4 linked regions of the Oryza sativa Japonica Group genome follow. The main gene of each other region encodes a partner of the protein of the gene in region 2 in a complex. Links are inferred from orthologs where the notes say so. Each region holds a gene or a part of one and is shown on either strand. Other genes may lie near its edges. The genes, in order: sister chromatid cohesion 1 protein 3, sister chromatid cohesion 1 protein 4, sister chromatid cohesion 1 protein 2 and sister chromatid cohesion 1 protein 1.

The links.
Region 1: sister chromatid cohesion 1 protein 4 (region 2) and sister chromatid cohesion 1 protein 3 share a complex: the UniProt entries of both Arabidopsis thaliana proteins name them as parts of the cohesin complex. The link is inferred for Oryza sativa Japonica Group from reciprocal best matches to the Arabidopsis thaliana genes SYN4 and SYN3.
Region 3: sister chromatid cohesion 1 protein 4 (region 2) and sister chromatid cohesion 1 protein 2 share a complex: the UniProt entries of both Arabidopsis thaliana proteins name them as parts of the cohesin complex. The link is inferred for Oryza sativa Japonica Group from reciprocal best matches to the Arabidopsis thaliana genes SYN4 and SYN2.
Region 4: sister chromatid cohesion 1 protein 4 (region 2) and sister chromatid cohesion 1 protein 1 share a complex: the UniProt entries of both Arabidopsis thaliana proteins name them as parts of the cohesin complex. The link is inferred for Oryza sativa Japonica Group from reciprocal best matches to the Arabidopsis thaliana genes SYN4 and SYN1.

The regions. Positions count from the first base shown.
Region 1 is NC_089042.1:10,218,439-10,224,323, reverse strand, and holds the end of sister chromatid cohesion 1 protein 3, read right to left. Parts: intron 5,281-5,885; coding exon 5,019-5,280; intron 4,942-5,018; coding exon 4,895-4,941; intron 4,814-4,894; coding exon 4,782-4,813; intron 4,702-4,781; coding exon 4,634-4,701; intron 4,567-4,633; coding exon 4,175-4,566; intron 3,970-4,174; coding exon 3,771-3,969; intron 3,287-3,770; coding exon 3,144-3,286; intron 3,059-3,143; coding exon 2,371-3,058; intron 2,288-2,370; coding exon 2,155-2,287; intron 2,056-2,154; coding exon 1,957-2,055; 3' UTR 1,432-1,956; downstream 1-1,431. UniProt on the Arabidopsis thaliana protein: May be involved in sister chromatid cohesion during mitosis.
Region 2 is NC_089035.1:39,654,645-39,661,034, reverse strand, and holds the end of sister chromatid cohesion 1 protein 4, read left to right. Parts: coding exon 1-296; intron 297-389; coding exon 390-773; intron 774-854; coding exon 855-999; intron 1,000-1,266; coding exon 1,267-1,403; intron 1,404-1,579; coding exon 1,580-2,355; intron 2,356-2,514; coding exon 2,515-2,548; intron 2,549-3,093; coding exon 3,094-3,202; intron 3,203-3,291; coding exon 3,292-3,421; intron 3,422-3,703; coding exon 3,704-3,802; 3' UTR 3,803-4,175; downstream 4,176-6,390. UniProt on the Arabidopsis thaliana protein: Involved in sister chromatid and centromere cohesion during mitosis.
Region 3 is NC_089038.1:24,873,181-24,880,256, reverse strand, and holds the start of sister chromatid cohesion 1 protein 2, read right to left. Parts: upstream 3,724-7,076; 5' UTR 3,495-3,723; coding exon 3,368-3,494; intron 2,572-3,367; coding exon 2,151-2,571; intron 2,065-2,150; coding exon 2,024-2,064; intron 1,949-2,023; coding exon 1,902-1,948; intron 727-1,901; coding exon 662-726; intron 584-661; coding exon 461-583; intron 373-460; coding exon 235-372; intron 112-234; coding exon 1-111. UniProt on the Arabidopsis thaliana protein: May be involved in sister chromatid cohesion during mitosis.
Region 4 is NC_089039.1:29,077,081-29,082,421, reverse strand, and holds the end of sister chromatid cohesion 1 protein 1, read right to left. Parts: intron 5,175-5,341; coding exon 5,078-5,174; intron 4,921-5,077; coding exon 4,839-4,920; intron 4,760-4,838; coding exon 4,681-4,759; intron 4,572-4,680; coding exon 4,408-4,571; intron 3,724-4,407; coding exon 3,680-3,723; intron 3,600-3,679; coding exon 3,444-3,599; intron 3,348-3,443; coding exon 3,179-3,347; intron 3,064-3,178; coding exon 2,996-3,063; intron 2,885-2,995; coding exon 2,737-2,884; intron 2,674-2,736; coding exon 2,586-2,673; intron 1,589-2,585; coding exon 1,461-1,588; intron 1,362-1,460; coding exon 1,277-1,361; intron 1,194-1,276; coding exon 1,081-1,193; intron 618-1,080; coding exon of another isoform or gene 601-617; exon of another isoform or gene 484-600; intron 366-483; coding exon 283-365; 3' UTR 5-282; downstream 1-4. UniProt on the Arabidopsis thaliana protein: Involved in chromosome condensation, pairing and segregation during meiosis. Responsible for cohesion between replicated sister chromatids.

The sequences.
Region 1 (5,885 bases), on a different chromosome or scaffold from region 2:
CCGACCCCGGGGTGTGTGAGGAACGGCTGCCGCCTTGCCTCGGGCCGAACCCCCTTGGGGGAAGGCCACGTGGCCACCAAGGGCAGGCCCTTCTTCATAGTCTGGGTACCCCCGGGCCCATATCACCGATAGAGACTAATGTTCCTATGAGTTTTTTTTAGTCTCATTGTGATATGGAAATAAAAACAATAAGTCTTATTTGTATATGAAAGTGAAAATGATGAGAAGTTTTTCCCCGATGATGAGATGTGGTAGATATGCATTCTTTGGTGGTGGATCTTAATCATGACAAAGATGAAATGCATGGAGATAAAGCGATATGTATCACTTCTTATCTCATACTTTTTGATAGATTCATATATATGATTTCCATGTTATTGTTATATAAGTGCGAGACTAATGTTTACTTGAGCATTTTCTTATTTAGTGTTCTTTACATTAAGAACATGGAGATGATAAAGGTATGTGTTTATGTTTGTCTTTATCATTGCTACATACCTTCTCCATGTGTATAGGATAAACCCCATTGGTTCTTCTCTACTTGTGCATACACTTGCCTCTCTTATATATTTCTTTGTATGAATATATTTAGGGAGAGCAAATCTTATACATTTATTGTGCATGTTCTAGATACATGTTGTTCACCTATTATTTATATTGGATCTTTGCACTTAAGCTTGCATGCAAGTATATGATACTTGTGGTGTTAATGAATACTCAATAAACATTCATATCTTTCATAGGCAACCGGTTGGTCATCAAGTGGAGGATGACAAACGATTTATTAGGACTAATGTCTTCCTTTGAGTTGTGCAAAGGAATAGGTCCCAACATCCATGTGTGTGTGCATGCTCAATTGATAAAATCTTGATACAAAATGAACATAGATCAGTAAATCATGGATTTGTTGGAAGATCATATATATCATTAAAAAGGAGATTGAATAGATACTAAGAAATCACAAATATAAAATTTGTTGAGCTAGAAATGCCATATGTATGTGGAGGAAGAACATATGAATATATTCAATTAAGAATAATAAATATGTTTATTCTATATTCATATCAAAATAATACTGAAGCTAAAGATAGAGTGTTTAATTAACATGTAGTCTCATAATCAGATCTATCTTTAACCTCCGAAGCAAATTAATGACACGTATAATATAAGGTTATTAAGGGGCCATTTGGCTTGACCTTAAGTTTGCACTGGGGTAAACCCAAAAGGAGTAAACTTCTCAAAACCTTCATTTTAATTTTAAAATTTATTACCAAGTAAAAATTAAAACAAATGATGAAAATGGAAAGAAAAATGTATGTTTGGTTCCATTGTATGATTGATAATGGGCAAGGGTGATCCTTGCCATTGAAGGACAGTTAATTTTGGATCTCATTGAAGTAATAAAATCATGCAAGGTAAACTTCAGACAAATACAACAAATAATGGTGCATTGCAGAACACATATTGCATGAAAATTTTCTGAACAGACTCTGCGCTCTGGCACACTGAAGATATCAGACTATGTACACTGACATTTATAAAATTGTCTTATGCTAGTCATCCAACATTTTTCGACTTGTATTTAACATATCACTACCATGTAATTAAACAGCAAAAGTAAGAAAAATTCTTATCTTCATCTGATTCCTTGTTCACTTTGCTTTCTGCCAAGAAAGCATAGGCAAGGACTACCATCTGAAGTCCTAACTGGACAAGATGTATTGGCTTTCGACAACTACTAATGCTACAGCTTTACAACTACAGTATTCTGCAACATAAACCTAAATGGCATGGAGTGCCTACTTGTTCTAGTAATTGGAGTCCAGCAAATTGCAGTAGATTAGCCAGCCATGTCGCATATAAGAATCCATTGTTCAGGCCATTTCTGCAAATCCCACCAAAGCTCCTTCCCGCGGATCAAATGAGATTATATGTGGTTCTAAGCAACTGAATTGGTCAAAATTTGGCTCCTGAGAGTGAGGGTTTAACTGAAACTGCTATATCACCATAGGCTGCTTCTTGTTCAACATCAATATAATCATAACTCTTTAGAACCTACAGAAAGAACAAACATACGATATGTCAAGACATAGTGTGGAAAGTGACTACAAATTATGTCCAAAAGGGAAATGTAACTTGCAGTTTAAATGGTACCAGTGTTTCAAAAAACATGCGTGCAGCTTGTTTCCTGTGTCTCCCTTCCAAGATTCTGTTCAAGATAAATTTACCAGGTTGGTCATCTGATGTAGCCGAAGCCATTTGATCTTTGAAGTACTGTGCCACAGCCCTACAATGCAGTATGAAACATGTCAGAATTCACACTCAAATGGTAACATATAATGAAATCGTCTATTGGAACTTATCCCATACCTTGTCCTAGCAGACATGCTTCCCAATCCTGTGGTGCCAGTACCTGCGGTAGATATTACTCCAGGAGTACTCATGAGGCTAGGAATCTCGGGCAAATCTCCATCAAGTTCATCATTAAATGGAAAAGGAGAAACTTGAGGATCAGAGTCTTGTCCAGGTGACATGTAACTCATATCTGCTGGTGTCCCAGAGGCAGGAGTTTCTCCAAGTCTTGATTTCGGAGTTCCACCAGCACCAGGAGTTTTGAAAGGAGAATTGTCGTCTCTTATTGGAGATGGAATATTTTGTGGCGAGAATCGAGGGATCTCAGGCATATCATCAAAGTGTGACGTGCCTGCTTCGCCTGGAGACTTTGGGTTGAGCTCAGGTTCAGGCTGTCCATCCGCATTTCTTGGAGATTGTGGATTAATCTGAGATTCAGGTTGTGCCTCTGCATTTACAGGAGACTTTGGGTTAAGCTCAGGTTCAGGTTGTCCATCTGAATTTCTTGGAGCTTGTTGATTGAACTGATGTTCAGGTTGTGCATCTGTGTTTCCAGGAGACTTCGGGGAGAGTTGATGATCATGTGTATCCTGAATACTGTCATTAGCTACCCCAGGAGTATGCTCGACAGATCCTGACTCAGCTTCAGGGTCAATCACATGGGGGAAGGTTCTCTCGTAGGTTTGACGTAGGGTAGCGCACATCCCTGAAAGGAAGAGCAAATTTGAGCTGACATTGTTTCAGAAGTGAAAGGACCATCACTAGTGGAATCAGAGAGTATGGTAGCTTACCATGGACCAAAGGATCAAGCAAGAAACCATCCTTTTGGCGAATCCTGTTGAATTTCCACACATCCACCGCTGCTTGAGGCAGTTTCCTCCTCTTGCTGACCAGACGATGTAGTTCACCGCCATCAATTTGTCTCTTCATATAACTGTGCAAGAGAGTATGAGGTCTTATCATTTGTAACTAATACAGTATAGTACCACCAGATATCATACTGTTGTTGCAATTAATCCCCATCACACCTAGCACTACGATGGTAAAAAGTTCATAGCCTGACTTGTATTTTTGAACAGAACAAATCCCATACAAATATATCAAAATTATTAGACGAGTTAATTACCGGTTGATAACAGCACACATAGAATTATTCTATTTATAGATAAGCTGTTTAGAAAAACAATATTCGAAGGGTGGTGTAGGTGAGGGGACAGAGTAATAGGATCAGAGGAGACAGGACATGGTAGAAATGAAGATGTCATTTGGTAGATTTTAAACAAAACGCCCAGGCAAGACATAGTACAATATGAATTTCAAAAATTCATCGAAGTCCTGGTAAACATATAATATTTAATTTGAGGTTATTTCCACCAATGAACTTTGCTTAAGAAGATAATTTGTAAAGTCGAACTTACGCATTGGAGAACACTATTTCATTGTCATATCTAATTCTCCTCTTATCTTGTGCTGGGTGTGCATTCATCTCATCTTGTACTGGTTGTGCGTTCATCTCATCTTGTACTGGTTGTGCGTTTATCTCACCTTGTACTGGTTGTGCATTCATCTCATCTTGTACTCGAGGTGGAGATGGTTCAATCCTAAAATCAGGCATTCCTAAAATCACAGAAGGAAAAGAACTTGGATGAGAAGACATGTTTAACATCAAGGGAAAGTACATTTTACACAACATTCTAGCATCCCACATAAGTAATGCTGGTGGAATTGCAATGTAGTCTTATTTCTATTAGGTCTTATGAAAAAATGAAGGCAGAAAACAAAACTGGAAAGAACAAGATGAGTCAACAAGCAAAATACTAACCAATATCCATTGGTATAACATCTTCTATATTGTCATATGTGGTGCTTGTACTTCCTCGTGCATTGGGAATGGATGTCCCAGATAATCCACCTTGACCAGGGGATATAGTTCGTTCCAGTGCCGGAGGGGTGATATTCTTGGACACAAATGGTGAAGATTCCTCAGTCACATCCATGGGATCATTGTTTACCTCATCAATATCTGGCAAGTTAAGTTCAGGGCCCTCAAATGGTGCTTCACGCATTATTTCAGGTAAATCTGGTGCTTTATCTGCCTGATTTATGTTACTGGTGTTCACTGCCTCCGAGTTGTTGCCTTGGGAAGGATCTACGGAAATTTCCTCATCCATATTGTCACTTGGCCCAAAATCGATGTGAAATGGAGGCAATCTCCTGATAAGCAAAGCGGACATGAGTCCACCAAAATAGAAATTAGAAGGAAAAAAAACATGACACGTACTCTTCGTCAGTTGGTTCAGGTCCCATGTGTGAAGATTGTCCAGGAGCTGATAGCTCTACTCTAGCATCCTACACAATTTATAAGCACAAATATTAAAAAACATGCAAACTAAACAAGCCTGCAAAAAGCGCAAGTCAGTGAGGAATACCTCATCAAGATCAATCATCAGATAGTCTCCTTCTGCAGCACCAAAATGAAATCATTAAGCATCCGCATTGGAATGATAATAATACATATATTGACTAATTGAACTTCGTATACCAGCCAGGGTGATCTGGTCCAGACTCTTCCGATGATTATCTGGCGTACTGTCAGAAAGTTAACACAATAATATTAGTTGAGGTTGTATGACGCGGAGAAAATATATGAGAAGAAAAGTACTCACTCTATCAGACGAATTGCATCATCTAGGTTTATGTCATCAAGACGGAATGTATCAGGCAATGTGATGGTGTCAAAAGGCGCATGATCCGCATGAAGGGGCAGATCTACTTGTACAGAAGCGAAGGCGGTTCTGATTGTGCTTAGCATCCGGTTACAGTCATGGAAGAGGTAGTTTACCTTCCATGAATAAATGCGAACTAGACCTAGAAGAAGATGCCCTGACAACCTCAGAGCAATTGGAACTTCAGGGAACATGATAAATTCTGAAAAAATAAAACTCATGCATTAGAAGACATGGCATTAGGTTGCAGAGTAAAGCATAGGGAAAATTCAATGTATATGAGAAAATTGTTCAATACTTAACTAAGGAAAATATGTAACCTATTTTTCTCAAAAATGCGGGAGGACTGAACTTCATTTCTTTAAGAAGAAAATAGATAGAAAAAGAGGAGGTTAAACTGACAAACACACCCAAGAACACGCTCACGTGCACAACACCTAAGGGCGACACATGACCTCACTAAGCAAACACAAACTAATTGCCAAGGGTAAGCGACCTGCAGAAAAATGTGACCTATTCAGCATGCCATTATAATACAAGTTCTTGCAAAGCACAGTTCGAAGTTGAAATAAAAAAAATTGTCACACTTTCCTCCCAAAGAGAATAAAAAAAACTTCCCATAGAGTATAGACATCTATGCCCAAATATGCAATATTAATCCAGTTGTTTTACTTCCAGTCAAAAAACATGTTTTGTTCTAATAAAATTCCATCAGTAAGCTTCCTAAACATAAGGCTTATCTACTTTGTTCTTGAGTTTGCAAGGTTAAATATGTAAAGTTAATCACAGAATAAAGTAAAAACTGTT
Region 2 (6,390 bases):
GACAAAGCCTGTGCAAATTGAATCTTCTGGTGCTGTACAGGAGATTGATTCCTTGAGTCAACAATGTGCAACTGAGGAATTGCCACCCCAAGCTGAAACCTCAAACTTGGAAGCTACCATGGACAAGTCAATGATAAATACTGATGGTGTAGCTGCATCAGGTGAAGCTACAGCTGCTAAAGAAACCACTGAAGTGTCATTGGTTGAAAATTCTTTAGAGCTATGCGCTGATGGTCCTACTGAACCTGTGATTGAGAACCAAACACAGTTTAATGATGGATCAGTTGATGTGCAAGGTAAATTGACTATTCGTTGATTTTGTTTTTAAAGTCATTGTATTTGATAAAAAAAAGGTGAAATCATCTGCTTTTTGATTATTTGTTTTGCAGGGGGCGGTCAGCATGCACCTCATGCTATCTTAGCAACTGCAGATTCCCAAGTGAATGTAGAAGCATCAACACAAGAAATGGCATCTAACGATATACCAAGTGACCTACCAACCTTGGAATTTCCAGAACGTGAGAAAATGCTGTCAGCTCCAGACGTTGAATTGTACCAGGCAAATGACTTGGGCCAGGTAACTGCAGAAAAGGGAACCACTGAATCTGATGGAAGTAACAAAGTAGGTAGTCTCACTAGCAGAAAAAGACACTTGGAGGACAGTTTGCCAGCTCTCGAAAGTGCAACTACTGAAAAATTGTCTAGCAGACCACGTGGTAAAAGAACCATTGATGGTATTCCTGATGATGATGATTTACTGGCGTCTATATTAGGTATGGATGAACCTCCTCAACAATAATTGTGCCTGGCTTTTGCTGCATTGTCTAACACTAACTGTGTGGACTTGTATTTAGTTGGTAGAAGGACCCCTGGACTGAGGCTTGATTCAACACCAATACCACCTAAGACGTCATCTTTGAAACGTCCAAGGTTGACGTCAAAGAGTACCACACCGAAGAGAAAAGTGCAAATGGATGATGCCATGGTTATACATGCTGAGTATGTATACGCCTCATAGCCTTCAAACAAGTTTGTTGAATGGAACTGTGTGACTGTTGTTCTTTAGTGTTATGTCCTTAAATTTCTGCCATCACTGTCTTCTGATGGGAAACAAATAGTATATTTTTTCCGTATATTCTTGTAAATTTTGTGCAGTATATACATTGAGTTGATTGGTCCATCTCTGGAAATCAGATTGCGGACTATTTTGCTGTCCAAATTATTTTCTGCTGTGATATTATTTACTGAGTTTCTTCCATTCTCCAGTACCATACGGCAGCAGTTGATCAGCACTGAGGATATAAGGCGCATTCGTAAAAAGGCTCCATGTACCCGTTCCGAAATATGGATGATCGAGAAAGGTTCCTTAGAAGATGATATATTCCATGAGCCCATCTTTTCCTGTAAGCTACTTAAATTGGTTTTTATTCTCTGCTTCCTCTTTACACATTTACTGTATGTTCAATTCAATTAGGAAAGAACTGAAACAGAAGTGAAATTAGTTTTGATATATGAGGATAATTAGTGGTTAGTTTTATGCTCTGAAATTCTACTGATGCATGTTTGTGTTCCCAACTAGGCATGTGCAAGGAGCTAAACGATTTGCAATATCGGACCTATGAGATTGTTGCTCATCCCACCATTCATAATATGGAAATACATGTACGGCTAGACATGTCCCAAACTATGGCAGATGGCAGCAATGATGTTGGCACCTCTGGCGCAAAGGACAGTGGAAATCACCAAGATCATGTAGTGCTACCAGATGGAGCTGAGTCAGATGCGATGCATCCTGAAGCAACTGATGCAGCAGATACTAGAACTGATTTTGATTCACACATGCCATCTGACAAACAGGTTAACAATGTTGAAGGAGTAACTGAACAATTAACTGATAATGAGAAAGAAACTGCAGTTGTTGAGAAAGCAACCACTAATATGGGTGACAGTGCTCAAGTTGATTCACTTGATAAGGAATATCTTCAAGATGTTCCAGCTGATCTGCAGAGGAGCACAAATACAAATACACCTCTGTTTGTGCTAGATGACATGCCTGGTCCAGATGTGGTTCTGGATAGCTCTGATCCAGTTTCTGCACAAGCAGTGGATGATATGAAAGGGGAGTTGAGTGACATTGTCCATGACAATGTCAATGCATTTGACAATAAGGATATGCCGACTTCTGAGATTACCGTACTGGAATTTACTCAAAACGCTTCTGGTTTTCCTCAGCCAACAGAGGATGAAAATGTTCTGTCCGCAATGGGTGAAAATTCTGGATTGCAAGAAAATCATGTAGGATCTGTTATGGATCTGGACAATATGGGGCATGACTTTTCACTAAAGGAATGCAGTGTAAGTCCATATAGAAGTTTCCACTTGTCTTCAGACACTTGTCAGATGACTTGTGTTTCTCTTAATTCCACAATGTAGCATGCTATACAGTACTTGCACTATTTTATTCAGTCGTTATTTGAAGTCCATGGCATAATTGGTATGCTGTTCACATTGCAGGATTTTGGCAGTGCGATTCAGGGTGTTGACACAGGTATTGCCTTTTGTTCTGATACATAAGTGTAAACTAGTGTAGTAGTGTTCTAATATAATGTGGATTATGTGTACAATGCTTTGTAGGTGCAGCAGAAAACTAGCTAAATACCCATGCACAGATTTTCTAATAAATATATCATCAGTTCGAAACTCAAAAAGTGAGCATATTTATCCTGAGAATCATATGTAATTTGCAAGACGCATATTACAATGTCAAAATAAAAACAATCTTATTACAAGACGCATGCTCAGATATTCTAATTATTCACAGAAGGGTCAGGCTGACTCAAGAAGTGGCGGTGGGATTTCAGACTCACCATAACCACCATTCCTAGGTTCTTTTGTATTAGTAGAAATAAACATGACATTAACCTTCATGACTAGTGCAATATCCGTTCTTAATTGTATTTTATATGCAAATTTTGTGATGGGAACTTCCACACGCCCGTATGTGACACTGGTGGATCTTACTGTTCTAGTGTTGCATCGCGAGAGGTTTATAAGTTTTATGACTTGTGTCATATTTGTACTCTACACTTTCAGATTTTCTGATGTATGATGATGAGGTGGACTGTGATGAGGCTAATGATGATGAGCCTAATCCTGAGGAATTCCAGTCTCTTGATAACAGTGGATGGTCTTCACGTACTAGGTACGATTGGATTTCGTGATAATATTCTCAGGGTTTAATGCTCAATATTTTTTTGAGTTCTATAATGAGTTGTTACAATTGCTCTTCAGGGGTGTTGCAAGATATCTCAAAACTTTATTTGATGAGGAATCTGGTCTGGGAAGAAAGAGTGTGGCCATTGATCATCTGTTAAGTGGAAAGACTAGGAAAGAAGCATCAAGGATGTTTTTTGAGACATTGGTAAGACGGTTATGCTTTTCTGTTTCTCCACTCAAGAAATGGAATACCTACCTTCAGCTCCAGTGTGATTGGAGGCACCTAGAATTGCATGATCAAGAATACGCCATTCATTTTATATTGCATGTTTCGATTAGCCATCTTCTCATTAGACAATCTTACTGGCATCAACCAATTTCTGTAGTCATTGTCAAACTAGACCTGCAATGGTAGCTTAAATTGTTTTCTCGAATCATTTCTGTTGACATTATCCTTGGTACTTATTGTGTTCTGTTCCATTCACAGGTTCTGACAACAAAGGACTTCATAAGTGTGGATCAACCAAACTCCTTTGATTTTGTCAGCGTTAAGCCAGGGCCAAAGCTCCTGAAGTCAGATTTCTAGATCAAAAACCAGCTAGCGTGGCGCGATACATACAATCTTACCATATCTGTCACATTACCAACAACATACAGATCTCGCATCGCCGTGACCGTCATTTTTGTTTTGTTCTTTTTAATTTATCCTCCCTCTGTAGTATCCCCGCACTAATCTGTGTTTACTAGGCTTCTTGGGTAGGATTCTGTTGTACCCCCCTCCGTGTTGGCTATTCAGTGTATATATGATTAGCTCTTGTAAAGTTGCTTGTGTAATGTGATAGCATCAGCTCCTAAGTCCCCGTCTATTGTTGCTTTGAATAAACCTTCAAACCTGTATACTTCTCTGACTTTGAGCAACCTGTCGATTAATTTCAAATTTATTCAGATTCGTAGGTCAATCGTGAGAAAAGAGATAACCTTTTTTTGTTTGTTTTGCCTGAAGTGGAGGGGAAAGGTTGCTCAAAATTCTGTATTGGTATTATATCATTACAACCACTCTGCTGGTGATCCGAGTCACCAGCATGAACGTCTGAGTGACCATTGAGCAATGTGGGGCGTGTGATTAAAGCAGCTTTGATCCCTTTCTAGCACATACGTAAAGTGACACGCTGCTGTGTGCTCTCGCTATTCGCAGAAAATGTAAAAGCATCAGCAAATGCAAGACAGAATTGGCAGAGAATAAGGTGTTTGGAAAATGGAAATTCTTGGAAGGATGACAAGTATTAATCGACGGCCAAAAGGACAGGGGAAAGCCGACCAGAAATGAAGAACGGAGCAGCGAATGTCGGTGCCGAAATTGTTTTTATCTGCACGGTTAGCACAGGGTTTTCGTGTCGCGCGTCTCACTAGCTCACTGCTCATGAAAGACTGAAGTGAAGCCTAGCAAGCATTGCCACCTGACGAGTGACGACCATACTTTGATCGATGGATGGATGTATGGGCGCCGCAAGGCAGTTTGTCCCATTGTCCGGCATTGCTGCCGATTCCTTTGCCTCGTGCGCGCGGCATCCTCCACCAACAACGTCCGCACGAATTCCACGCCCAAACACCGGCAATTCCCGTGCAAAATCACGCGACACATCTCCGCGAACTCAACGCCACGCACGCGCGCGGACGCAAAGCCGCGCGCGCGAGCCACGCCGTTGCCTTGCCACCACGGCGATTTTCATGGCGTCGTGCGCGCGAGATGCCGAGATCCGCCTCGCGTGCCCAGCGCCATCCTGTCGGCTACAGTACGCCGATCAGTGGAGTTCCCATGGGTTGATCAGACGGACGGCGAGCCCGTGCGTGAACAGTAGGGTGACAAGCCACACCCAGCCAGTCAGCCACACGAAGTGGCATATATCTCGAGCTATAGCCTGACCTGACCTGCTGTTTAGCTTGTTACTACCTGTAGCGCCTCGGCTCTCACCAAGCAAGTGTCGGTGCATTGTTTTTTTTTCCCTTCTTCCTCTCTCAAAATATAAGAGTTTTTATCCAGATGTGACATATCATAGCACAACGAATCTAGACAGAGATTATATCCCGATTTATTGTATTAGGATATGTCACATCTAATAAAAAAATCTTATATTTATAGACGGAAGGAGTACCTGTTATTCATTACCATTAGTAGTACAACTCGATTGGTTATTATTTCTTCCATGAGAAATGTCCTATATATATAGCTAGTTTGGAAAATGTTTGCTTAAATTGGAAATATGAGATTAGCTTAATTATGTGATCAAAATCGATGCCCTTTGATCTAGAGGTGTATATATATGTACATATGTGTAAGCATGATTAGGCGAAGAAAGTTCAAGTGTGAGGTGTAACCTGTTATCTTATTCGGCGGATGCATGAGGCGCACATGGCATGTGACGCCGTACGCCGATGTTGGTTGATGCACACTAGCATGGATGATGTGTGCATTGTCCTCATTCCTCCTCCATTATATGGCTAGCTCTTCACAATGATTAACAAATAATTAAGCTATAAGCACGTCCCTCGTCTCTCAATTCCTTCCGATCTGAGCATTTTGTCACCACTTCCCTGTTCCGTCTAATTTAATGACCTAATCCAAGACCGTATCTGGGTTAGAAACCAACAATCTCAACGTTTCCTCTCACCTTAAAAGGGTACTAGTACAACGATGTAAAATTGTGGTACTACTACCTCTTTTCCTGTCGTCAAAAGGGAGATTTTTACATTAATTCCCTTCTCCTGTCGATCATCCAACTCATCAACTACTTTTGACCTAATATTTTCCCTTTTTTTCTCTCTTTTTTTTTCCAATGTGCTTGCATTACATGATTACATCCATGAAGGTTGGGCTGTCTGTACGGCACTCATTCATTCGTTCCTCTCACAAACACTGAAGCCTGAAAACGATTGAGAAGCAACACAAGCTACTCCTAGCTAGGAAGGCATGCAGACCTAACATAATCCAGCATCACTTAGTGGGTCTAATAAAAAAGAAACAAATCCAACAAGCAAACAACCATGCATAACAAAATGCTCATTGCCACCACAACTGCTCTAATCTCACTGTCTCTCTCTTTCTCTCCTTTCTGCACTCTGTTTGCTTACAACACAAGAAGAGGAGGAGGGTTTCGGTTCAGCAGTCGGCATCAG
Region 3 (7,076 bases), on a different chromosome or scaffold from region 2:
GTTCCATGCAGTGACCCATTTTCTGATTCTTCAATTGTGGGACAATTTGCATCACGACTTGGAAAAGTCACATTCTCCACAATATTTTCAGGTATTTGCACTTCCTTACTTCTGTACCAATAAATATGGTCAGCATCAATGCACTATTTTTTCACAAAAATGTTTAAGTAAAAAAAAATTGATGTGACATTAAAATCATAATATGGTAAAACCACAAAAGTAACATTTACTTACCCTGACAAAGGGATGTGGCAAGCAGAATTCCCATTCTCATCCCTATTCAATTCTCTTTGAGGTTTTTTCCCCCTTGTGCTTTTATCTGAAGGATCATTTACTTCAGCCATCATATCCACCATCTCAGGTGGAAGAATACTGTTCCAGAAAAAAAAAAAAGGTCATCGGCAACAGAGGAAAAGTATGCGCACTGTAAAGAGAGAAATGTGACACCATATATACTTACTCCTTCACTGGTGTAAAGCAAGCAGATTCAGCATTGTGATTTTCAGGTTCACCCCCAATGCTACTCAAGCATAGTAGACTGTTGACTTCACTAATGACACTCATCATTTCAGTTGGGATAGTGCTGCATTGAAGCTTCATTCAGAAATTCGGTACAGATAATCTTTTTTAGCATCATTGAGACAGTAATCTCTATACTTACACGCGTACTGGCATAATGCAGGCAGAGTCTAGATCAGCGTATGAGCATGTCATCATCTTATAAGACTGTTCATTGGACCAAAATAAGGCTTTAGTTTCCCAAACAGATAATATACGAAACAAAAGGAAGACATGGTTATTGGATAATAATTAATAAAGGAGTAGCAATTATGTGGTATTATTTATAAATAACACGGGAAAAAATGAAAACCTGGGTGTAATTCGCTAACCCAAGGGCACTAGGCTGTTGTAGGGTGATTTTTTGGTCGTGTATCACCTTGTGTGGTGCTGTTTGTAGATGTGTGAAGGGCTCGTGAGCCCTTGGTTGTATGGGTGGTTTGTTTTTTCTTAATGAAATGAAGCGCAGCTCTCCTTCATTTTCTAAAAAAAATAAGACAATTACAGAACTAACCCCCTAAACCCCTCAGCAACTGACAAGTGGCACCTGTAGCAGTTCTCTAAATTGTTGAACAGAATAATTAGCACAAGGTACAGGACTGCAGCCAGCATCACACTGGTATTCACAGACTTGGTATATGCCAGTCAAAGCATTAGCGGACTCGAGTCCTTTTTTTTTTCAAAAACTACAGTGCTTGCCTAATCAGTACTTTGTCCCAAAATGTAAGCAGTTCTAGAGGTTTTCACGGGAATTAAGAAAATAGGTGCGGTTGAATGGTGGAAGGTTGTGATCGGTTGAGAAGAGAAAGTAGGTGCAGAAATTTAACGGGATATGGCTGTGCTTGGTTCAAATGACGAGGTAGGTGGAGAATTAGCTACATTTTGGGACAAATTTGAACGCTAGAAATACCTACCATTGGGATGGAGGGAGTAGTACTTTCGGCTACCTGGGAGCCTACCTCACTTTGGGATCACTGGATAACACATTCACCTGGCCACCCTATATCAATGCTTAGCAATACCAGGTGTTTCTTATCTAGTATGCATACCATTAGTTAGTTTTTCCATTTCTTCATTTCAGATGTTACTAAATACAGCTCGTGTATGCATGCATGTGTTGGATGGAGTGTGTAGCTCAGTGGTAGAGCACCCAGTAAGGTGACGCCCACCCAGGGCTCAAATCCTGGGTGCCACAGTTCTGTCCACATCGCTGCACAAGGTTTCAGTGGGCACCTTCTTTAAAGCTAAGTCAACGACGACGTCCTACCCCTTGATCAAGTTTTTTTTTTTGTGCATGCATGTGTCGGTAAGTGGTGTGGACAATACAGGAGAGAGCAGTGTACCTCAAACAAACAGGATGTATGGTGATTCTCATCTTCCAACATGGTACCTATACAAAAGAATGCAGAACGTAAATAAAATGGTTTCTTAGCAGTGGTAAAAACATCAATCACAGCAGTTCTACCTTGATGTGGCAATTGGTGATGATCCACGTCATCATCATCCCTACAAAGAAAGTTTTAAAAATAGATCAGAAACCACAATTTTAAGCAACAAGCTAATAAAACTAGTATAGGACCAAAACCTGTTACCTATCTTCAGGAATCCCCAAATCAAAAGAGTCAAGCTCAAATCTTTTGGGTATTGTGAAAGTTGGAAGATCAGGTGTAGCATGTGTGTCTCGAACTTCAGTTATCTGTGAAGTAGCTCTTGTTTCTGCTCTAGTTGTTCGCACAGCTTGCATAGGTATTTTTACCTTGTAAGCACCTTCTTGTCTTACAACTAATCTTCTTGCGCGAACAGGTTTCTTCGCTTGCTTTGAAACTCTATTTGTTGCTCCTCCAGTTGGGATACTTAGTTCATTGCAATGTGCTGATCCATATGATCCAAGAAGCTCATTGCATTCATGGCAGAGGTATTCCACTTTCTTGGAATAAATCCTAACAATGCCAAGCAGAAGCAGTCCCAATACTCTGTATGTGGTTTTGTCGTTGTCATCAGGCAAAATCTTATCTGCCAGGGGAAAGAGGAAATGTGCAAGCGTTACGAGCATATTAGGGAAAGAATGCTAAAAATAAATCGATCTAGAAAAGGAAAGCGTTATAAAATGTCACAACCCGCATTTACTGTTCTAATTTGTTTCATATGCTTTGGATATAGCATTTCCCTTCTTATTAGTTCCACACTTTTGACACCTGTATTTCCGTTACGAGTCAGACCAAACAATATTTACAGGACTACTAGATTTGTTCAATGCTATTAAATTTAGGGATTACAAGGTATTCCTAGTTGGCGCCCGAATCTTGGGTATATGCTTGGGCCTTATTAATAGAACCATACGTAGAACCGTCGTCGTACAATGACCCTAAACCCCAAACCCCAAACCGATGCCATCTACAAAGTACAAAACTCTTCACCATCCAAAAACCCATACCCACAGGTCCATGTTATTACACCCAAGGTGCTACCTTTTCCTTTCACCTCGAGATTTCACATGGAAAATCAAATTGCCACAACGATTACCACAATACAGTATAGAAGGGTACCGAGGCCATGACAGCAAACAACTCCTCTCAAATTCCATTCCCTTTCTTCTTCTTTTTTTACCAGATTCTCATCACATGATTCGCTTCATTTCTATAACCTAAAGCCCCGGATAAACCCCTCTTCCGCACACCGCCTCCCACACTGTTCCACTGCCTCCCACCTAGACCGCAAATTCGACATAAAAACCCACGAAAAATACGCACTTTTTTCTCTCTCTCGCGCGCGCGCGCTGAGGCCGAGGAGTGGGCATCGCATCGCTTACCGACGCAGGCGACGACGTTGGTGCGAACCACCTGGTCCCGGCTGAGCGCCGCCACGCCGCTGACCGCCGCCACCCACACCGTCCCCAGCACCCCCTTCTTCGACAGAAGCACCTTCGAGCAAGACATCCCCCGCCTCCACCCCAAGCCAACAAAAAAACACGCCCTCCACCCCGTCGACCCCCCGCCGCCGCCACCAACAATGCAAGCGCGCCTCGCGCGGGCCGCCGCGCCAATGGCCCTCCGCCCCCTCCTCGCCGCTACGGACGGAGCCGGAAGCAGCCCGAGAGCTCGCCGCCTCGGGTTTTTTTTTTCTTTTTCTTTTTTTACGGTTGCGCTCTTGGAGGAGAGGCGAGGCGAGGCGAAGGGAGAGCAGAGGAGGAGGAGGAAGAAGAGGAGAGGCTTCAAGGGGAAGGAGGAGAAGGAGAAACGGTTGGGGCGATGGGCGAAATGGCGGAGATGCCCTCGCGTTTTGAGAATTGAACGTTGGTAATTTGCTCCGTTTTGAGAGTATTTTCACAACTCCTCCTCCGGTGGTTTCGCGTGTTTGAAAAAAGTTTCCGTTTTTGTGTGGAGGTTGCAGGCGTGTGTAAGGATGGGAATTTGCTTCTTTTTTGGTGATTTGTTTTGGATTTGTGCTGTTGGTTTTTCTAGAAGGGATAAATTTATACCGTTGTGGGAGACTATATACTATAAAAGGGAGGTAAGTGATTGTGAACAATATCTTGCAAAAATGGAGGTTGCCGTTTAATTTGTATAGCCTAAGTTGGAAATTTGCCTTTTTCTGATTTGTTTTGGATTTATTTCTGTTACTCCTTTCTCCTTTTTGAATGACAATGAGAGAATTATATGATGGAAAATATCCCGTGACAACGGCATAATAAGCAAAAAGTTGATTAAATCTCTACTGTTGAGAGATAAGATTGTTGTCATCTTAATACACCACTTCAAAAAAAATCAAGTTAATACGTCTCTGCCATTACAAACTTCACACTTTTTTATAAGCATAGTGGATTATAGGATCAGAAGATAGTAGTTACCAGAGATATCACAATGTGTTATTTGTACAGAGAAAAATAAGGTAAAATCCACCTACAAAGTGGCTAACCCCCTGCCTCCTACAACCTCTTGCAAATGTATAAATAATATAATTTATTTGCTTACTGCATTTATTATCAACTTCCACGGTATTTCTTATCAGGTAGTAAAGCTGCATTTATTATTCTTTTACTTGGTTTTCTACTTATATGGTAGGTGTAGTTGGTTTTATCAACATAAATGTTGGTGGATTAAAACAACATAATATGGATTTAGCATATTAAGATGCGAATCAATATCGCAAATAAAAGGAGCGGTCGAGCTAGACATGTTGACTACTCCCTCTATCCTAAAATATAACAACTTGTAGCCCTCAAGATTTATCCTAAAATATAACAATTTCTACACCAACATTCTCTTCCCAACCAATCATAACCCTATACTATTCACTTTTCCCACCTACCTCCACTATTCATTCAATCACAACCATCCATCATTTACTTCTAACTTCTTAATAACCGTGTCCAACTCTAAAAATGCTTATATTCTAGAACGGAGGTATTAACTACTGTAGATAGACAGAGAGATTAGAAATCCACGTAATATTTTAGTAACACAAGATTGAGGGTAATTGGTGAGAAGGAAACATGAGTCCGATCAGTTCCTACGGAAGAAGGGAATGCTCGAGCTTAGCCCTAGTGACTAACTATTGAGATAATAATTTTCTAGTACGGCCAAGTTTAGTTCTAAACTTTTTCTTCAAACTTTCAACTTTTCTATCACATCAAAACTTCCCTACACACACAAACTTATAAACTTTTTCATCACATCGTTCAAATTTCAATCAAACTTCCAATTTTAGCGTGAACTAAACACACCCTACCTCAAAATCCACATACGAAACAAATAGCATGAATTCCCTCCCCTCTCTTTATTTATAGCAACTAAACAAATAATTTGTATTACAAATCAAGTTCCCAATCCACTTATTCCACCACTAGTTCACATGCCCTTTCCGATTGTTGTTGAACATACACACATAGTTTGAACAGCGGGTATTATAACCTCTAATCATCTAGTGAATCTATTTTCTTAATAATAAATTAAATCCCAGCCGTTTGCGTATGTACATTTTGCAACCGAACCCTGGAAGGTAATTTCACCTCGCGGATGAGGATGAAATCGACGAGGAAGAGAACTCGGACACCGATGCTCACCCGAGGCCGCTACTGAATGCAGTCGTGCTTTCCCGAAGGATAACCATTCCTCGTACCGACCGATCAAAGTGACCAGGGGGTATAGTTTATTTATTACCGCCCGTCACCTTCCAGCAAGGACCATCACTTGGTTTACACGTAGGCTACGGACATGACCAGCTCACTCACCTCAGCAACGGTGCCCGGTCTGCGGATTCGCGAACGCTCTTGGTTTCCTGGAGCCGAATTTGAGCATTTGCACACACGGCAACTTCTCCTCTCTTGTAAATGAGACAGACTTACATGTAATACTAGCTCAGTACCTACTACTGTAAAGCAATAGTCCTCCATGTTTACAAGCATTGATATAGGAAAGTACAAAAGGGGGAGAGAAAAACACAAAGTACACATAGCGAACAATGCACTACACAACAGTACTTGACAAAATGATACATGCGTGTGCTTCCTCTTTCGTACATAGAATCAGCTGCCACCCCCATAGCAATGCAGACAGGCCTCGGATGGCCATTCGAACAGGCAATGCCGGCTGAATTATAGAGGCTCTTCGAGGCCACGTTAGAACAAAATAACGACAACGAATAATCAAACCAATGAACAGATATCGATATATCCCAAAACTCATATCGGCAAGGCATGGGAAGACAAGTTAGAGAGAAGCACGATTACAAAAAGAGACCCAAATATCACTCAAGCGGGTCATGCAAGCATCATATATGATTAAAATTTTAAAGCATATTCTTGTCCAAGTTAATGTGGTCTTGCATCAGGGGAGGATTTGCGCAGTTGAGCAACCCTCACCCTATTGCAGCACAAGCTGCTAAAACTATGCAGAGCAAGCTAAAACAGTAGAAGTCTTGCCTTTCAAGTTGTGTGATCCCATCTAAAACTAATCAGATTAAAGTAGTTTTGTGAGTAACCCGCTCCACTAGTAGTTTAAAGTTCGCAGTACCATTTCAGGTGTCCATGTACTAGTTTTCAAAGTTTACAGGTAATGTCAAGAGGGAAAAAGTTGTAGGGAGAAAACTAAAATGTTGTTCATGAAGATAATGTCATTTAAGAGAAGGCGTTACACCTCAACCATCCCAAAGAAATGGACGAGCGGTCCCCACAATCAGTCAGAAGTATGATGTATATTAATAGACAGGATAGGATAAGTAGACTGACCAGTGACCACTATGGTTCACTAAAGTAACAGGTGAACTCTCTTGAAGACCTTCCACAAAATTTAGTCACTTAGGTACAACAAGCTGAGGGCCATCAAGCTTCCTATCTTGAAGCAGCCACAGCTTAAGCTGCAGACGTGTCACAGACAACAGCTGTAGTGAGTTCAAATAACTCTCCAAGCACTTAAGCAGCATTTAAGTTACCACCAAAATGCAAAGCACAAAATGACTGAGCATATGGTCTTCCACCAGTTCACAAAGCATAAAGGCAGTTTACGCAAAACACTTGTCGC
Region 4 (5,341 bases), on a different chromosome or scaffold from region 2:
CAGGTAAGAGGTAAAACCAGTTATTTCATCATCTTAAATATACAGAAAGAAAGGTATCGTATAACTTTAACCTTGCACCAGCTATCAAGCCATTCAGCATACTTACAAAATTTCTTTCCTACACAAAACTAGTGTTAAATACATGCCCCAATACAACGTACCTACAAGCCTTCCTTCGAAGTTTTTCTAAACTTCATGTGCAAACTTAAACACCATACATAACACGAGATGTGCAAGAACCACAACAGCAGAAAATTGTCCAACTATTAAACATTTAGGATGTCACATCTTTGGTCCCCTCGAGATCAAGATGTCTCCGTATGGTTCCAGCTGGTTAACCTTGATAAAATCATGAGTTGCTAAAACTGCAGAACAAAGGGTCCTCAGTAAATACAAGTACTGAACCAATAATAACACATACAAGCACCTAAAAACATCAAACTGCCACGCTAAACAGTAAAGCTAAGAATATAAAACACTAACCAAACTTTTGTGAACACCGATCTTGCCCACACATGGTGTTAGGCCCTCATCCTCTCTCATCGAGGGAGAAAAGAAACATAACCATTATTGACATAGTTAAAATCACTAACTCGTCCATCAAACATGGCTACAATCTGAAAAAGAAACAAAAAATACATAGCCACAATGATGTACGATTGAATTTCCAAGGTACTTCTTCAAGATTTTCCAACATCTGTCTATGGCTAAGCAAACTAGGTGTTGCCCACTTATCCAACTCAGGAAATAGTGCTATTGCACATTTGTTTTCCTCCCTTAACACTACATGAACTAATAAAGTGAACTTATTATATTTACTTGGTCAATGTAATGAGAGAAGCCTGGGAAAAACGTAATGAGCCTAAAAGGTTTCGGTGATATCATAACTTGAAACAATGGTTGGAATATTTCATTGCAAAGTTGCAATATGGAAAGGAAGTACACATGGCTTATCAAGTGTTGAAATGAACTTACGGAAATTATAAATAACCATCAAACCAGCAAATGAAATGTTAACATTATGTTTACTCTAGCGATTGCATCATCTGTTGACTCGCATTGGGATTATAGAACTCATACCGCATGCTTGATAGAAGAGTCGGGCAGCCTTTGCTGTAGTCATCCCATGTGCTAGCTGACTTAATGATTCAGACTGTGAGGCCCCTGGGGTGTCAAAGTGTAGCTTGAGGTACCTGGATGGATTTAGTTTGATGATCACAGAGTATACATCTACTGTAATCTGTGGAACAAACATAATGTATAGTTGAATACTTACGAGTGGATTGATTGTGTGACCTGGTCGATAGGATTGGATTTCTTTTCATATGGGGTTTGAGTAGGTTCGATTTCTTCCAGCAGGTCTGTGACCAAATTAAAAGTTAATCGGTATGATGACGGGGAAATAAATTTCCACACTTTTGTATAGAATCATTTGAAATAAGGACTGAAAAGAAGTCAACCTGGAGTTGGCCCAACATCTGAAAGCCTTCTCATCTTGAAATCTCTAAGTTCTTGCTCGAATGGGAATTCTTCTTCAACTGGATCGAGGTTCCCAAAGCTTTTTCCAGATGAATGCTGCCTCTTGGACCTGTTCAATGACCTCACGCAGTTGTACTAAGACCTCTATGAAAATAGAAGGACCATAGATAGGAAGCTGCCACTTGATAGTTGATAGTCAAGTAGCCTAGACCAGGGTTTCCCTTACCACCGGTAACCGCGCTTACCGCGGGGGTACAGTAAGGGTTACCGGTGGTAGGGTTTGATAAATTTTGCCCAAATTCAAAATTCCAAACAAATAAAAAAACTTCTTGATTTGTAGTGGTAGACAGTGAAGAAATTTTTTGAAAAAGAGTAAGATAAATTCAAATTTGAGGGTAAAACCGAATGTTCATTAGAAAATGGAAAAAAGAAAAATGTAATGGACCTTAGGTTGCACAGTTGCACTGTTTATCTGGCCCATTAAGTCCCATAAGTGGGAAAAATATCTCCTAGGTCCTCTCATCTATCTCTATCGCTCTCTCTCGGCACATGCTTTCAAATGTGAGGTTGTTGAATTGTTGTTGTTGAATTATTATGCTACGAAATGTTGAATTGCTTCGAAGTCCATAACATAGAAAATGTCATGCAGAATTTTTGTATTTTACACCCAAAAGTTAGGTTTGCAAGTATCCTATATATTCTTCTAATTATCCCCAATTTCTACACACATTTAAGTGCTTTTTTAAACTTTTTTAAGAGTGTTTCTATTCTGCTACACAATTGGCAGTAACCGCGCGAATATCGCGGTTACTGTGCCGAAAACGCAAAACCGCCGATTTTTAATTCAAATATTTGAGGACGAATTTCACGTGGTTTTCAGCGGTTACCGCTGGAGGGGGGGGGTAACAATCTCCGTTTCCTTTTCTTCTTGCCTAACACTTCATCAATAAGACAACTAACCACTTCGATGCTTTGGAACATAAACCAAAGAGGCTCCAGTATAAAGACATGCATCTTCAAAAGTTTGCACGGATAACTTTTTATTTATTCCAGGAACAAGTCATATTTCAGAAAACTAGTGAAGGTTGCTATTAATCAACACTCACCTTCCGGATGGCAACTGTACTTCTGGATCCAACTGCGTAAATCCCCGTCCAGAGCCACCAGAGCTTGAAGCAGACCTGCGACTTAGCCCTGCAGCAGGACTGATGTCATTCAGTGTCTAAATAAATAAAATATATTGTTTTTTGTACTTACCAGGACTTCCAGGAGTAACACTATGATCACTGTGAAAAGCATCATAATCTCTTCCATATTCCCCACTAGTGTTTCCTCGGAGTTTTTCGATGTCATCTGCAAAGTCCACTGGGTGAAATCCCATTTCCCTGTCATTATCAACCTGAGGCTGCAAATTGAACCACTTATCAGACAAGTTCAAGAATGAATGTAAATGTTACAGCTCAATAGGAAAAGCTAGCATAAATCATTTCCATAAACATATAAATTTAGAAATAACCTGGGTTGGAAATGCCTGAGGAGGCAAGTTTCTTTGCTGTTGTTCTGGTGATGATGACTGCTGCCCTCCTTTAAAAAAGATTGCAACCTTTTCAGTTCGAACTTAGCAGATTAAATTATAAAAAACTTACAGTTCCCTTGGTGATCCAGAAAGGTGAAAGAAAACTACAAATTGTGTAGTAACCTGAAGATGGAGCTTTTGGGGACTTGACTTCAGTACATTCCTTCCAAAGCTGCATAAGTTCCTTAGGATAATAAAATTCTAAGGGTGACTTCTCCAAGGAAGATATTAGAGAAACGAGGGGCAAGTCCATGAGGTCTCTTATCTTGATTGACCGAATAAGATTAACTTTCTGCAATATTACACGGCAAAACATCAGATATGTTCACAAAATTCTGCATAGTTACAAAACTCTACACAGAATTAGGTAATCAAAGCAATTACATACACTGTTGATTCTGTGCCTTTTGGTAATGAGGCTTGATGGATCCTTCAGCCATGTTTGATATACATTTCCTGGGATCATTATCTGGTCGTTATCCATCATCACCTCATCATCTTTCCTACGTTTTTTTCTCTTTGATGATTTAGCAGGTTGCTGACCCTGGTTAAACAATATCAAACAAAACAATTATCTTCTTCATCTAGATGTTCCTGAAGCTAACGGCTCGCTTGATCACAAACCTTCATCTTCTGCTGCTCTTGCTCATTTTTTACAGATGCCCCCCCTGCAGAAAAGTTGTCAGTAATTGCAACAAGGCACTTGCACTATGGCACATATTAATGTACCCAAACCATGTCCAGCACTTATATCAGATATAGCAAACTGAAGTACAGATAGTCACGAGGAAGAGGCTATATGCAAGTCTTGTTTAGCAAGTAGAAAAGATTCAAATATAATATAAATTGAATTTCAGTCAGTAAACTAGTGTGAATGGTGACAAGTTACACAATGTGTTTTATTATCCCGTTGACAAAAGCCAAATTCAATGACATAACATGTAGCAAATTCAATGGCAATCGCTCAGCATCTCTACCTAGCCTCGCGAAAATCCAACCGTTGGAAATGTAGAAAGGCAACAGGAGATGATGAGTGAACTTTTAGCTTCTTAACCAACATAATATAGCAGAGTATATGATAAGATAGAATATCTAGCTGTTAAGAGATATTGACATAACCATCAAGTTCATATCCCTGAAGAAACTACATCAAATCATAAATTCACTGAGATATATTTGGATGGAAGTTTTACTTGTTTGAAATATCATTTGCATCTGTGGCATGCTAAAAAACAGAGATGAGAATTGTTGTCTTTTGGCATGGAAACTGGAAAAAAAATCCCGATTTACAGGATGATAGTACCCTTTCCAAATTTAGGATCAAATAGACCAAACCATGTGCTTGAATTGACCTTGTTGAGCTTCTTCGTGAAGAGGGGATGAGGCAGCATGATGGTTTTCTTGTTGCTGAGGAGAGTCTTCCTGCCTAGGTGGAGAAGGAACCAGATTACTTGGAACCTGTGGGTGTCCATCAGGAGTGACATTGAAAGTTGCATCATCATCTGTTATGTCGAATCTGGTGACATTGTAACATTGCTCAATGAATAATTGTACTGGCCAAAATAAGGAACAAGAAGTGCAAAAAATGAATGGTAGAATAAGAGAAGAATAAAATTTTGCTTCACCTCTCAAAACGATTGAACACATCAGTCTCTCCAAGCCCAGACCCGAAATTATCAGCCAGGGTGATATTTTCTGCATCAGCTGAGATAACATATTTCAGTCAGAAAGTACACCTCTTAAGCAACCACAAAGAGTAATTCATAAGAAAAGAAATGAAAACCTTGGTGATGATTCTCAGCGCGCGAGAAGTCATCATCGTCTAGGTTGACATTAATGTATTGGTCATCCAAATCCTCCAAACGCTGCACATGCATGACGGATTTCAGAGGAATAGAGACAATCTGGCAAAAGTCAGGAGACTGAAAGCAAGACTATCTCGTGGTTATTGCTCATAACTTAATGCCATCTTTCAATGCATACAATCAGACACCACCGAAATATACATATTACAGGGATTACCATTCCCCGGAACCTTGTAGTATCAGCCTCTGAGAAAAGCATGGGCTGCTCCACATCCATATCCATGATATTCTCTGGCAGTGTTACTGCTTCATACCTGCATGAAGCCCCAAGTTTAGATGAGCAAACCATTACTGTTTTACTCTTGGTACAAAATATCATTCTCCATCCACCAACTTATACCCACTCTATGCTATTTACAAAAGTAAGTTGAAAAGACCCTTGGGATACAATCATTCAGAGGAACTATCCAGGACTCCAAGA